2 linked regions of the Anolis sagrei genome follow. The protein of the gene in region 1 interacts with the protein of each later gene in a pairwise test. Links are inferred from orthologs where the notes say so. Each region holds a gene or a part of one and is shown on either strand. Other genes may lie near its edges.

What was found. The genes of interacting proteins can lie anywhere in the genome.
Region 2: the proteins of GOLGA2 (region 1) and CYB5R2 interact in binary tests that used the Homo sapiens proteins (3 or more experiments, as listed by UniProt). The two-hybrid records come from large-scale screens. The link is inferred for Anolis sagrei from reciprocal best matches to the Homo sapiens genes GOLGA2 and CYB5R2.

Annotation. Positions count from the first base shown.
Region 1 is NC_090031.1:16,805,281-16,813,369, forward strand, and holds the start of GOLGA2 (golgin subfamily A member 2), read right to left. Parts: upstream 3,052-8,089; 5' UTR 2,917-3,051; coding exon 2,869-2,916; intron 1-2,868. UniProt on the Homo sapiens protein: Peripheral membrane component of the cis-Golgi stack that acts as a membrane skeleton that maintains the structure of the Golgi apparatus, and as a vesicle thether that facilitates vesicle fusion to the Golgi membrane.
Region 2 is NC_090021.1:255,183,468-255,191,418, forward strand, and holds the start of CYB5R2 (NADH-cytochrome b5 reductase 2), read left to right. Parts: upstream 1-4,908; 5' UTR 4,909-5,005; coding exon 5,006-5,020; intron 5,021-7,043; coding exon 7,044-7,190; intron 7,191-7,490; coding exon 7,491-7,563; intron 7,564-7,951. Other genes in the region: OVCH2 (ovochymase-2), read left to right, coding at 219-238. UniProt on the Homo sapiens protein: NADH-cytochrome b5 reductases are involved in desaturation and elongation of fatty acids, cholesterol biosynthesis, drug metabolism, and, in erythrocyte, methemoglobin reduction.

The DNA of each region.
Region 1 (8,089 bases):
GTTTGAACTCCACTGGTTGTCATTCATCTTCCAGTCCTAATTCAAGGTGCAGGTTATCACCTACAAAGCCCTGAACGGTTTGGGACTCGTCTACCTTCATGACCACAGCTCCTTCCATAAACCTCCTCTGGGGAGGCTCTCCTTTCACTGCCACTTTTATGTCAAGTACAACTGGTGGAGACGAGAGAGAGACCCTTCTCTGCTGTGGCCCCTCAGTTTTGAAACTCGCTACCTAGTAAGATTAGGCAAGCCCCTACCCTGGCAGCTTTTAAGAAAGACCTAAAAACTTGGCTCTTCTGATATGCCTTTGGCAAGTGAACATATATTCCATATTTTGTCTGTTCCAACTACAGTTCCATCTTCATGATGCACTTTCCCCTGCCCTTAATGAAGGTCTAACCCAGGGGTCCTCAAACTAAGGCCCGGGGGCCGAATACGGCCCTCCAAGGTCATGTACCTGGCCCTCAAGTCTGAAATTCCTTGAAAACATACAACAACAACAACAACAACAACAATCCTATCTCATAAGCCAAAAGCAGGTCCACACTTCTCATTGAAATACTAATAAGTTTATATTTGTAAAAATTGTTTTCATTTTAATTTTTGCATTGTTTTAAAGGGTTTTTTTTGCACTACAAATAAGATATGTTCAGTGCACATAGGAATTCATTCATTTTTTTCAAATTATAATCTGGTTCTCCAAAAGTTTGAGGGACTGTGACCTGGCCCTCTGTTTAAAAAGTTTGAGGACCCCTGGTCTAACCCCATAGTTCATTCTTTTTGAGCTCTTCCCTCAGAAAGACATTCTCCCATCACTTATCTCATCCAGGGTTTTATCAATTTTATCCTAGTGCATTTGACCCGCCCACTGCATTCTATTTCTCTATCATGTTATTTTGTGATTGTTTATTTTATTTTGTTATTTCATGATTTTTTATTTTGATTTTAATTTTGCTTCTTTCTATTTTATCTTGCTGTACTATAATTTTGGGCTTGGCCTCTTGTTAGCCGCTCTGAGTCCCCTTTGGGGAGATGGTGGCAGGATACAAATAAAATTTATTATTATAATTACTGATGCAGGCCAAAATCCCATTCTTTTTTTAGCTGTCGAACGACATAGTTGGCTCATGTTAACTTGTTGCCCACGAAAACTCCAAAATCTTTTTCATACTGATATCGAGCCTGGCATTGTCCACCGGTCTGTATCATTGCATTTCATTTTTTCTGACTAAGTGGAGTATGTAGAGATGCCCAAGGATCTGCTTCCTCCCAAGAAACACCTCTCAAACTAAGAAACTATTTCACGTTTCTCTGAGCTCTGTCACTTTGTTTCAGCATTTAAATACAGACAGATGCATATAAGTGCATGTCAGAATAGAATAACTGCATCTCCGTTTACGAACCCACACGTTCATTTCGTTCATCTGGAGAGGCCCTGCTTGTGATCCCGCCTGCATCACAAGCGCATTTGGTGGGGACACAAGACAGGGCCTTTTCTGTGGTGGCCCCCCGACTCTGGAACACACACCCCCCCCCCAAAGATCTTAGACAGGCCCCTACATTGGCAGTCTTTAGAAACAACTTGAAGACCTGGCTGTTCCGATGTGCCTTCCCAGAATAGGAAATCTCCAATACCAAGTCCCAGAAGCACTTTATTAGAACTATGATTGCCGCGCACTGCACACTCCACTTACCCTATAATCCTTATATACCACCTGTCACATCAGCACTTTTAATTCTGTACCCATTACTCTGGCCTGGTCCAGTTTTATTGTGTTTTGGTGTATTGTTTATTGTTTTGTTGTTTAATATTGCTTTAATTGTTTTAATTTGCTTTAGGTCTGGAGAACAAGCCCTATGAAGAGCGGTTTAAAGAGCTGAGCATGTTTCGCCTGAAGAAGAGATGGCTGAGAGGAGACATGATAGCCGTGTATCAATATGTGAGAGGAAGACACAGGGAGGAGGGAGCAAGCTTGCTTTTCTGCTTCCCTGGAGACTAAGACACGGAACAATGGCTTCAAACTACAAGAAAGGAGATTCCATCTGAACATGAGGAAGAACTTCCTGACTGTGAGAGCTGTTCAGCAGTGGAACTCTCTGCCCTAGAGTGTGGTGGAGGCTCCTTCTTTGGAGGCTTTTAAACAGAGGCTGGATAGCCGTCTGTCAGGGGTGCTTTGAATGCAATATTCCTGCTTCTTGGCAGAATGGGGTTGGACTGGATGGCCCATGAGGTCTCTTCCAACTCTATGATTCTTGCATTTGTCTTTGTGGATATAGATACAGATCTATAAATCCCACTTGCCAAGTTTCCAAGAGACCTCACAATGTCTGGGGATGCCCGTCATAGATTTGGGCAAAACGTCAGGAGAGAATGCTTCTGGGACATGGCCAGACAGCCGGGAAAACTCACAGCAACCCAAAAACACCCTGAGTGGGTTGCTCCAGCCTGAGCCATCCAGTCCAACCCCATTCTGCCAAGAAGCAGGAATATTGCATTCAAATCACCCCTGACAGATGGCCATCCAGCCTCTGTTTAAAAGCCTCCAAAGAAGGAGCCTCCACCACACTCCTGGGCAGAGAGTTCCACTGCTGAACGGCTCTCACAATGTGGGCCTTGAGAAGGGAGGCGCGGCCTCTCTCTTCGGAGCAATCCCACTACGGGGCGGGCTGGGGTCTTCCGGCCTCCGAGGGGCGTGCCTAGGCCGGAGAGGCGCCTCGGAGGGGGCTAGGCCTCTGCCTGGCTGAGAAGGGGGCAACTAGGGGCGTGCCTGGGCCTAGAGGCCTAGGCCGCCTGGCGTCGTCGTAGTTGCTGTTTCGAGCCTGAGGCAAACTCCTCTCGGCCTCCCCTGCCTTCCCTTGCCGCGTTACCTTCTTCTTGGCCGCCGCCAGCTTGCTCTGCCTGCTCCCGTCCGCCATGTCCCCGGCCACGTCAGCCCGGAGGAAGGAGGGGAGGGCGGGGACAGCGCCGCCAGCTGACAAGACGGGGAGAGCTAATCGAGGCTCCGCCCGGGCCTAGCTTGGACGCGGCATTGCGCAGGCGCGGCCCTGACAGGCCCCGCTCCCAAGAGGGGGAGAGCCTAATTGGGGAGCGGCACTGCGCAGGCGCAGCCCTGGCAGGCCCCGCCCCCACGACGGGGAGAGCTAATCGAGGCTCCGCCCGGGCCTAACTTGGAAGCGGCATTGCGCAGGCGCAGCCTTGACAGGCCCCGCTCCCATGACGGGGAGAGCCTAATTGGGGAGCGGCACTGCGCAGGCGCAACTCTGGCAGGCCCCGCCCCCAAGGCGGAGAGAGCTAATCTAGGCTCCGCCCGGGCTTAGTGGAGAGCCGTACTGATTGGGTAGCGGCATTGCGCAGGCGTAGCCCTGACAGGCCCCGCCCCCAAGAGCCAATCTAGGCTCCGCCCGGGCCTAGTGGGGAGCCGCACTGCGCAGGCGCGGCCTCTGACAGGCTCTTTCCCAGGCGGAAGGGAGTGCGCAGGCGCAGTCTGCCTTCGCGCCATTTCGAAGCCTCCTCGTCCAGAGTTCCCTCACGAATGAAGTGCGTTCCTGCATTCCATTCAGTCAGGGGGAAAATAAAACAGCCAAACACTGTACAGAGAAGTAAAATCTGAGGTATTTATTGGTAATTGAGAGTGTCAACATAACGTTTCCAAGGAAGTTTTGTCGAGCATAGTGTCTAGATCTAGGGAAGTCATTCTCCCCATGCTCTATTCCGCCTTGGTTAGACCACACCTGGAATATTGTGTCCAATTCTGGGCACCACAATTGAAGAGAGATATTGACAAGCTGGAATGTGTCCAGAGGAGGGCGACTAAAATGATCAAGGGGCTGGAGAACAAGCCCTATGAGGAGCGGCTTAAGGAGCTGGGCATGTTTAGCCTGAAGACTTTTTTTATATGGCATCAAATTGTTTCCAGTCTGTAAGGCTGCCCTGAGTCCTCTTCGGGGTAAGAAATGCGGGGTATAAATATGATAAATAAATAAATTATTTTTTTAAATGTCTCAGTCTCATTCTTCTCCCAATTTTCCTTATTTGTAATCTTTTTCCAGTTGCTGCAAACTGAGTTAAAAGTACAAGAATGGGTGACACTCAATTGACTCGGCAAGATGATTATTATTTATATCCTGCTTTCTCTTTCCCAAAGGGGAATCAAAGCGGCTAGCACTAAACAAATTATACAATATCTATAATTATGTTACTAACTGGAGCGGGTAGCAGGGAGCACACAACGCCCTTGTTGTCCCAGCTCCACTGGCTGCCGATTTGCTACCGGACCCAATTCAAGGTGCTGGTCTTGGCCTACAAAGCCCTAAACGGCTCCGGCCCAAAATACCTTTCTGACCGCATCTTGGCCTACGAGCCCACGAGGACCTTGAGATCGTCTGGGGAGGCCCTTCTCTCGATCCCGCCTGCATCACAGGCACGGCTGGCGGGGACGAGGGAGAGGGCCTTCTCGGTGGTGGCCCCCCGGCTGTGGAACACTCTCCCGGCACACATCAGACAGGCGCCCTCCCTCATGTCCTTTCGAAAAAGCCTTAAGACCTGGCTGTTCGAGAGGGCATTTAATTAAGTGCTAAGCAACAACATTACGGTAATGAGAACTGGAATGGTACAAGGAAGATGAGACTGGCTATGATTCTACTAAGAGACGAAGCGGATTTTTATGTAGTTTGTATTTGTCGTATAGTTATATGTTGTTGATACTGGCCTTTGTAACTGTCTTTTTATGTGTACTGTACACCGCCATGAGTCGCCCGTAAGGGCTGAGAATGGCGGTTAATAAGTGCATCAAATAAATAATAAATAATAAATAAATATATTAAAACCCAGCAAGATGATTGTTATTATTTATATCCTGCTTTCTCTCTCCCAAAGGAGTATCAAAGCGGCTAACACTAAACAAATCATACAAATATGTAAATTGTCCTTTAGAAGACAAGTGAAGACTTAGCCCTGGGACTAGGCATTTCATTAATCAAATAGCGGCAATTGGAAAAAAGACTTAGGATATTTACGACATTGAATCTGCTTAGACTTGGATTTGATTTTACCGGCATGTATAATCTACTGTCTAATGAATTGTATAATGTGTTTTAATGGTTTTTAATGCTTTAATTCTACTTCGAATTGACAGCATCGTATGGTGCTTCTGTGAGGCCGCCCTGAGTTCCCCTTTGGGGGAGAAGGGAGGGGTAAAAGTGCATGAAATAAATAAATAAAACTCGGAACATACAAATATTAAAATAGAATTAAATATATGACTTATTAAAAGATACATACTTCAAACCAACAAAACAATTAGACTACATAAAACATAACACTTCCTGGTTCAGTCTTGAAAACTTTCTTCTTATAAGGTTTTTAATCTGTTTGTTTGATTGATTGATATGTGTTTTAATTGCTTATATGTTTAATTTGTTTATATTTTGATGAGATGTGTTTTATTGTTTACCTGTGCAGCATTGAATTTTTGCCAGATTTGAAAGCTGCCTTGATTTCCCTTTAGGATCAAGAAAGGCGGGGTAGAAATGAAATTAATTAATTAAAGAGCTGTCTGAAAAAAAACTCTTGTCCTTCCCAGTAGGCTTGGGCAAAAGGAAACTGCTGCAAACCCTCCTAGCTTATATATTCTTCCTTTTCAATCATGTTTCTCATTTTGACTACACTTTGCTGTTGTTCGACCAGTTTTCATATGTGAAATTGTGAAGGACATACTGTATGCTCCTACTTTCAGCATGATTGATGCCAGAGAATAGCAGTGACAGTCTGTCACATCTTTTCCGCTTGGGCCCACCATCATTTTGGCCTGACGAACACGTATATTCATAAAACCATACATACGCACACACCCTATTCCGACCTGTACTTTCTTGGTGTGTTTCTACACTGTAGAATTAATGCAGTTTGACACTACTTTTACTGCTATGTCTCAGTGCTATGGAATCCTGGGAATTGTAGTTCGGGCAGGCCCAGCACTCTTTGGCAGAGAAGGCTCAAGAGCTTCTTGTGATTATCTTGACCGATCGCAGTTAGTGAGAAATTGCATTGATCATTGTCTTGTCTGCAGTGGAGGATATTAATTCCATTGCAAGATTCAACATCCAGCTCATTCGCTTCCAGGCCTCTGTCTCTCTCCAACAAAATGTCTTAGGCCTGCTTTGAAAAGATCCTTGGTTGCAGATTTGCAGGATGGGCAGCCACAGCCCTGTGAAATCGGCTCAGAGAAAAGCTGTGCTTGTCTTCCCTCTCATCATATCATTCCCAAAGTATTCAAGCCATGTGAAAAGCTTATTAAATAATGACTCAGAGGGAAGGGCTGCTTACTCTACCTGAAATACCAGCTCCACTCATACTTGCCTGGAGGCTGTATCACACATTTATGAAGAAATACTGCTCAGCTCAAAACTTAAAAGTGTTACAAATCAGATTTATTATATTTATGCATTTAGGGATTTTAAGACCTTACCTTTTTTATTTGACTCAAGATGTAGAATGAATGCAGTTTGACATTACTTTATGTTTCAATGCTATGGAATCCTGGGAGTTGTAGCTTTACAAGGTCTTGAGCCTTCTCTGCCTAAAAATGCTGGTGCCATACCAAACTAAAACTCCCAGGATTCCATAGTACTGAGCCATGGTATTTCAAGTGTTGTTAAACTTGCATTCATTCTTCAGTGAAAAAGGAAATAATCCCCAGCAAAATGTCCTCCGAAGCACTTGTAACTACTCATTGGGTTGCTCTACCTTCATTTCTTTTAAAACCCTCCTATCAGATACATCCTATCTCTGTTCATGCCCAGCGTTTATTTTTTTAAAATTTTAAACTATTACATTTGGCCCGGCCATAGGTTTTTTTTAAAACCCTTGTGTGTTACTGTTTATATATGAGTTATATTAATTGTATTGTTTCTGCTTATTGTTTTTTGTTTTATTGATGTGTTGTCGGGCTTGGTTTCATGTAAGCCGCTCTGACTCCCCTTGGGGAGATGGTGGCTGGGTGTAAACAAAGTCGTCTCCTTCTCCTTCTCCTTATTATTATTATTATTATTATTATTATTACAGTGTAGAAGCCAATTTTCACCTTGTTTAATTCAGGATTTGGCTGTTTAAAGGCAATTCAGAGCTTTGAGATTACAGCTCCCAGAATCCCCCAAATTGGGAGAGAGTAATGGGAGTGCTTGTCCCAAAGCACTATGGATCACTCTATCTCTCTATCTATCTATCTTGTCTATCTAAAAATGCTCTGTGCATAATGAGTACCTTAAAAACAAAAGAACCAATGAACGAAATCACACCAAAATTGGCAACAAAACGTCTCACTACACAAGGAGTGACCATCACTCAAAAAATTATGCTTTTGTCATTTGGGAATTGTAGTTGCTGAGATTTATAGTTCACCTACAATCAAAGAGCATTCTGAACTCCACCAACGATCGAATTTAACCAAACTTGGCACACGGAACTCCCGTGACCAACACAAAATACTGAGAGGGTTTGGTGGGCATTGACCTTGAGTTTGGGAGTTGTAGTTCATCTACATCCAGAGAGCACTGTGGACTCAAACAATAATGGATCTGGACCAAACTTGGCAAGAATACTCGCCTAAGACATTTTGCTGGGGAGAGACAGAATGCCCAAATGTGAACACAGAAAATAAAAAATAGACCTTGACATTTGGGAGTTGTAGTTACTACGATGTATAGTTCACCTACAATCAAAGAGCATTCTGAACCTCACCAACAATAGAATTGGGCCAAACATCCCACACAGAACACCCATGACCAACAGAAAATTCTGTGTTTTCTCGTAGTCTTTAGTGACCCTTCTGACAACCTCCTGGTCCCGTCCCCCCTGTGGTCTAGACTTCCCAGGTTGAGAACTGCCTTAAGGCCATCCAGTCCAACTCCCTTCACCAGGGCAAGAAAACATAATCAAAGCCCTCCTGACAAAAGTCCATCCAGCCATGCCCACACACACATATATGTATGTGGCAGATGCAGTATCAAAGATTTGAAAGGGACCCCTAAAGAAGGACAATGATATGTTGCATGTTCCAGAGTAGGCAAACCAGACACTCTCCACATCAAC
Region 2 (7,951 bases), on another chromosome or scaffold:
ATATGAACCTCACTTGCCTAGTTTCTAACACACCTCACAACCTCTGGGGATGCCTGCCATAGATGTGGGTAAAACACGAGGAGAAAATGCTTTTGGAACATGGCCATACAGCCTGGAAAACTTACAGCAACCCAGTGATTAACAACTGATCTTTATTGTTAACTAAAATGCTTATTTACTATTTATATCTGCTGTTTATTGTGTTTCTGTTTTTCCAGACTCATCAAACAAAGCATGAACATTTTCATGTGAATTTATGCTTTTGAAACAAGCATCGTATGGAAGTATATTTCCTGATTCATCTATATGAGTTCTAGCAATGCTGCAGACAGAACTCATGGACTGTATTTGACACACATAATTCAAGAACATTTTTAAAGGCCCAGCTTTCACGTGGGGAAACAATATCTGTATGGATTTGAAAATCAATGTCTTTCAATGTGGTAAAGCAATGACATCTGTGACATTTTTCTTCAGAGATGTAAACCCCACAAAGTTTTGTAAGGCCTGTCCCTAATGCTTGGAAAGGCATAACATTGCAAATTTGAGGACACTTTAGAGTTACTTCTGAGTAAACATGTTTCAAATTGGCTAACAAGTGATTTTTTAAAATGTTCATAGGACGTATTTTATCATAGTAATCATGTAAATGTGCATATATTATTTTCACATGTATTAATACACATTTTATCATACAAGAGCAAGATCCACTTCAGAAATACAAAGGAATCAGTGACATTCCTGTTCTAAGCAGGTGAGGGAAATCTCACCCCAAAAATCACAAGTCACTCATGAGAAGCATACAGTTTTTCATCTTCTCTTGCTCCATGCGTAAGCATCTTATAAAGGGGATTTGTATATCCCCAATGGGGAAATACAGTGTCCCAGGTTTAATTGTTATGCCTACTTATATTTCTGCATACATGGATTACCTCGGTCAGAGTTTCTCAAACTGTGCTCCTCCAGATGTTTTGGACTTCAGCTCCCACAATTCCTAACCATTGGCAAGCTGGCTGGGATTTCTGGGAGCTGAAGTCCAAAACATCTGGAGGAGCACAGTTTGAGAAACACTGATCTAAGTAGTAGCAGAAGGATTAAATGAATAAGGATAGTTCATAGAATTTTTAAAATCCTCAGAAACTATTGTCCTTATAATAAAGGTAACTTTATGCTATCAATTAATGAATGAGTTTGTTGTTGTTTATTCGTTTAGTCACTTCTGACTCTTTTTTTTAAATTGTATTGGTTTTTTAAAAATGTAAATATGCAAAATAGGAACAGTAGGAACAGTAGGGTAGTATAGGGGTGGAGGGAAAGGTGGGAAAGAGGGAAAAAAAGAAAAAAGAAGGAAGGGAGGGGGGAGGGGATGCTGGGATGGGGATGGGGTAGGTTGGGTACTTCCAGGTTCACCCAGGGTGACTCATATGGTTCTACATTTGTGTACACTTGTAGGTGTGTATACATAATATATTCTTCTATTTGTTTGTCCGTATATATACACACACACACCCCAGCATACATATTTATTTCCTTGCTTGAGTCAGTTGTCATCTTCTTGTTTATGTAGTCCTTGAATTTAAATTACAAGTCCATTATAAAAATCTCTTTATTTTCACCTTTTATGGATTCTAGCACTGCTTTCCAGTCAGTTTTTTGGGGGGTTTTGTATAGTTCTGTGAAATTCTATGTGTCAATATGTCCATATTTATTATGTCCATTATTTTTGCTGTTCATTGGTCCATTGCTGGGATTTCTTTGGTTTTCCACATTTTTGCTAAGGTCATCCTTGCGGCTGCTATTAGGTAGAAAAATATCACCAAATCACTTCCGACTCTTGGTGACCTCCTGGACCAGTCCATGCCAGAGCTCCCTGTTGGCCGTCACCACCCCCAACTCCTTCAGAGTCAAGCCACTCACTTCAAGGATGCCATCCATACATCTTGCCCTTGGTCTGCCCCTCTTCCTTTTTCCATTTCCCCCAGCATTATTGTCTTCTCTAAGCTTTCCTGTCTTCTCATGATGTGGCCAAAGTACTTCATCTTTGCCTCTAATATCCTTCCCTCCAATGAGCAGTCGGGCTTCATTTCCTGAAGTATGGACTGGTTGGATCTTCTGGTGGTCAAAGGCACTCTCAGAATTTTCCTCCAACACCACAGCTCAAAAGCGTCTATCTTCCTTCACTCAGCCTTCCCGATGGTCCAGCTCTCACATCCATAGGTTACTACAGGGAATACGATTGCTTTAACTATGTGGATCTTCGTTGCCAGTGTGATGCCTCTACTCTTCACTATCTTATTGAGAATGAGTTTGAGTATATTTGAAATTATAAAAAGACTTTCTGTATATATTTCAGATTTCAATATTAATGTCAAAAATACTTAGTATGATTTATGTAAGATTTGTGCTACATTACAACAGTCAAGACAAATATCACTTAAGTAAAATAAACATGCTATATTAAATATTAAATAACCGGAAAAATAAAATAAGGTGTAAACACTAAACTAATCTGGGAATCTGCTATTGCAACACATCCAATTATTATTAAGTGAGGGGGAGAATATGTGGAATGAGGTATCAGCATGGGTGTGGGAATATAGGCATAGCTGTTAACACCCATGTCCTACCCAGTCCACGAGATGCGAGTGTGGAGAAGAGCAAACCACAGATCACCTATTGCAATGCAGCCTGAGCCCTGCCACATGCACAGTGGAGGACCTTCTTATGACAACACCAGAGGCACTCCAAGTGGCCATCTACTGGTCAAAGGACATTTAGTATAAAGCCAAGTTTTCAAACTTTGTTTTTTTAAAATATAATACAACTGTTTGGGTCACCCCTGATACGCTAAATAAATGCCCAGCACTGTATATAATACCTGTGCTTTTGTTAGAAATAACCCTGTCAAGTATGAGCCAGTGGCTAAAGCATCTGGGCCTGGGGTTAAGAATTGTGGAACCCCAAGCAAGAAGCTTATGGGTGAAAAGCTTTCATCTGACCATTTCTACAAAATATATATATACCTCTTGTTGCTCAGATCTGAGAGGGTGGGGCAACTGGAAGAACTGGTTGGTCGGCTGGTTTTACTGGAAAAGCCAAAAAGGGAGAGGAATTAAAACAATGGCAAAAAGGAAAATCTCTGACCCATGATTTGCTGATAACAAAGCCTTCTTACCCCAACCCACTCCCATCTCTGCTTCTAGAGTGAGGTTTTTCTCAGACCTTCTCAGGCTTGTTGTCGTATTTGACCCACAAAGGATGAATGTTCCTACAGCAGCATTTCTCAACCTGGGGTCGGGACCCCTGAGGGGGTTGTGAGGGGGTGTGAGAGGGGTCACCAAACACTATTAGAAACCACAGTATTTTCTGTTGGTCATGGGGGTTCTGTGTGGGAAGTTTGGCCCAATTCTATTGTTGTTCAGAATGCTCTTTGATTGTAGGTGAACTATAAATCCCAGCAACTCTCAAATGTCAAGGTCTATTTCCCCCAAATTCCACCAGTGTTCACATTTGAGCATGTTCAGTATTCGTGCCAAGCTTGATCCAGATCCATCATTGTTTGAGTCCACAGTTCTCTCTGGATGTAGGTGAACTACAGCTCCAAAACTCAAGGTCAATGCCCACCAAAACCTTCCAGTATTTTCTGTTGGTCATGGGAGTTCTCTGTGCCAAATTTGGTTCAGTTCCATCATTGGTGGAGTTCAGAATGCTCTTTGATTGTAGGTGAACTATAAATCCCAGCAACTACAACTCCCAAATGACAGGATCAATTTCCCCCAACCCCACCAGTATTCAAATTTGGGCATATCAGGTATTTACAATATGATTCATAACAGTAGCAAAATTACAGTTATGATGTAGCAGTGAAAATACTTTTATGGTTGGGGGTCACCACAACATGAGGAACTGTATTAAAGGGCCATGGCATTAGGAACGTTGAGAAGCACTGCCCTACAGAGAAATATCAATGCACAGAGCCTTTCAAGCACAAGAAGCCATGGTGAACTTCCGAGTTTCTGTTGTAGTTTTGTAGAGTCAAATATTTTGACTCTACAAAAGTTATTCTAAGACAGTGTTTCTCAACCTGGGAGTCGGGATCCCTGGGAGGGTCGTGAGGAGGGTGTCAGGAGGGTCGCTAAAGTCCATCAGAAAACACAGTATTTTCTGTTGGTCTTTGGGGGTTTGTGTGGGAGGTTTGTACCCATTCTATTGTTTGATTGGGGGGTCACCAGAACATTTTTTTTTAAAAAATTCAGGAATCAGGATATCTTTGTGCTATTTTGGACAAGCATAAGAAACCAGGCAAAGGTTCCATATTATTTGAGGAGTGTATTGGAGTTGGAAGAGATCACAAGAGCCATCCATTTCTACCCCCTGCCATGCAGAAACACCCAATCAAAGCCCCATTGGATTGCTGACCAAAAAGTTGGCAGTGTGGTGAGCTCCCCCTGTTAGCTCCAGCTTCTCATGCGGGGACGTGAAAGAAACCTCCCTCAGGATGGTAACACATCCAGGCGTCCCTTGGGCAACGTCCTTGCAGACGGCCAATACTCTCACACCAGAAGCGACTTACAGTTGCTCAAGTCGCTCCTGACATGAGAGAGAGAGGGGAAAAAACCACAACACGAGGAGCTGTATTAAGGGGTCAGCGTATTAGGAAGGTTGAGAACCACTGATTTAAAATAATGCAAGGCTTGTAAGTTGAAGTCCAGAACACCTGGAGAGCTGACGTTTGCCCAAAACTCCCTTTTGAGGGGCTTCCTGGTATGGAAACAGAGTGGCAGCCTGGGCCAAGAGGGAAAGGAGAGCTTGGCAGAGGCAGCCCTGTCGCAAGGGAGGGGAGGTGCCAGTTCAGCCAGGCGCCCTTTGCTCGGCTGGGGTGGGGAAGGAGAAAAGAGAGAGGGAGGGAGGGAGAGAGGGAGGGGCCTGCAGGTGAGGGACCTGGGCGCCCCCTCCCCAGCCAGCCCCGCCCTCGCCCTGCCTTGGGGAGAGCCGCGCGTCCGCCATGGAGGCTGCTTGGGTGAGCCAGCCCTGCCCTGCCCCGCTTTGGGGGCGCCGTCGGGTTTCTTGCTGGGAAAGGCGGGGGGGTGGGTCGCTTTTGGGCTCCCCGTTGGCTTGTTCTGGGAGAGAAGCGGTTTCTCACTTACCATTCCCATTGCTTAAAGTCTAAGCAAGTCAGTGCTCCCTGTGGCCATGAATGTAGGGGTCGGGGGGGGGGGGGGGAGTTTGAAGTATCCAGGGAGTTCCTTCCAAAAGTGTGTGTGTGTGTATATATGTTAAAGGTAAAAGGTTTCCCCTGACATTAAGTCCAGTCGTATCCGACTCTGGGGGTTGGTGCTCATTTCCATTTCTAAGCTGAAGAGCCAGCGTTGTTCATAGACACCTCCAAGGTCATGTGGCCGGCATGTCTGAGTCGCCTCTGAGACTCAGAGAGACTCAGAGCCTCTAACCGCTCTGAGTCGCCTAAGGGCTGAGAAGAGCGGTATACAAATGAAGTAAATAAATAATAAATGTCTGCATGGAGCGCACTTACCTTCCTGCCTGAGCGGTACCTATTGATCTACTCACACTTGCATGTGTGAGTAGGAGAGTCCATTTTCTAGGGGTGTGTTGGGTTGAAGGAGGAAAACAATTTCCCCCTGTTCTCCTGTTATTTCCTCCATCCATGTCCCCGTTGTGGAAACAACCCCCATTTATGAGATGAGGGAGAATATCTATCAAAAACAGGGGAAATGGTTTTCCTCCTTCAGCCCCCCCCCCCCATAAAATGGGACTATCCTTCTCTCTCTAGTTCACCCTAATGGCCTCCGAACTGATAATGGAACAGTACCATTGAGCTGTGGAAGTGGAAAGGTGTCAAGAGGCATTAATTCTACATCATGAAATAGCATAACTGGGAGAAAAGTGTATGGAACATGATATTAAATGGCTTAAAGAGGGTACACAATCAAAAAGCATGCCCATGCACACTTGAAGTGAAGAAAGCTCCAAAAATCTCAATAAAAAGTCATGTTTTGACTTGGTCTTGGAAAGAAGACAACCTTTGTGCCCATGGGACTTCCAGAGGGCACCACAGCTGAGAAGACCCTTTCTTTAGCACACAGGGGAACAGTTTTCTCACCCTTCTGTGCAAACAGGGTTGGAATAAAAAGGTATGTCACTGTCATGTTCTTGCAAGTTGTTTGATGAAGACTCTAACTTGGGCTGTAAGAAAAAAAATGCCACCAACTTGAATTATAGTGTCTTATGTTTTAGCACAGTGGTTCTCAACCTGTGGGTCCCCAGATGTTTTGGTCTTCAACTCCCAGAAATCCTAACAGCTGGTAAACTGGCTGGGATTTCTGGGAGTTGCAGGCCAAAACACCCAGGGATCCACAGGTTGAGAACCCCTGCCTGTGGGTCCTGGAAGATGACATCATTGCTACCTATATGAACATAGTGAGATTGTTTGCCATCCCCTTCAACTAGACAGGAAATTAGGGTTTTAACTGTACCTCTTTGAGTCCCACCCAGTCAGATGTTTTAGGCATGGATTTCTACATTGCTAGGGGGTAGTCTAGATTAAACTTGAAGGAATCTTCCAACTTTATCACTCTATGTTTCTAATATGTGTTTCCTCATATCATTACATTTTTCCTAATCTTCTTCACTTTCTACAGTCATCTTAGAAAAATTCAAGGGTCAAATCCTCCTTAGCCATGAGGCAAACAGTATGGCTTCCCTTTCTCCAGGTTTTTCTTCTCTGTAGAAATGATGATTGTATAGCACAGAGTTTCTCAAACTGTGCTCCTCCAGATGTTTTGGACTTCAGCTCCCACAATTCCTAACATCTGGTAAGGTGGCTGGGATTCCTGGGAGCTGAAATCTAAAACACCTGGAGGAGCACAATTTGAGAAACACTGGTATAGCACATGCTTTTTTCTTTTTTAGCAAGTCCTCCAACAATATATAAAAAACACCCTAGCACAACTTTATAGTGGGAATTGTAGTATATCAAGAGGTGTTTTCATTTTTTTTTTGTATATCTTTGTTTTCCCCCTTAGGACCTCTCTTTTTGGATTGCTGGGGTGGTAGTGGCGGCATCTACCCTGCTGTTGCTTTTTAAAGCAATGGGACCTAAGGCAAAAAGAGCTCTGGTGACCTTACAAGATCCAAATATCAAGTATCCCTTGCCGTTGATAGAGAGAGAGGTGAGTTGTCTGTAATGTGATTTCACAATATTAATCTGTTTTTAATGTAAGACTTGTCTTTCAAGCCCTATCTACTTGTAAAGACAGCAGCTGTCTAGATTGGGATAATTTTAACTAGCACTGCCATGGACTGAGCTAGAGACCTTTCGTGTGGATCCAGCTCCTCCCTGAAATTTGCAAGGAAAGTGTAAACCTTATTTTGATTGTGGTATTTGGATGCCATGAAACTCTGGGGAGGAGGGTGTAAACTTTCTTTGGATTGTGGCAATCCAAAATTGTCTCAATTTTTCATTTCAACAGGAGATCAGCCACGATACCAGGAGATTTCGGTTTGGTCTACCCTCATCAGAACACATATTAGGCTTACCTGTAGGTAAGTCTAGCTTTGTCTTATTTTATAATTGATTTCTCAAATAGGGCCTTTTCAGCCATAACCCACACAACCTATCCTGCCTTTTGATTGACTTTCCCTGATATTGTATCTGCTGAGTACATTTAGATTTATGCTGGAATGTTAGAGAAAAGTAGTAAATATTGATTTGTATGAAGTATTGAGAAAGCAGGAATGTAGTAACCTTGGTTTGTTAAGTAGGGTCTTCTGAAGTCTGGCTACTCTTTTCTGTATAAACGTGAATAAAGTTTCTTTCCTCTCCATTTTAACTGTGCTGAAACTGTGGTCTTGATGCTTGGAATTGTGATGGATACTTATGTATCTGGCATGTAGGATCTTGTTGTTGTTGTTCATTCGTTCAGTTGTCTCC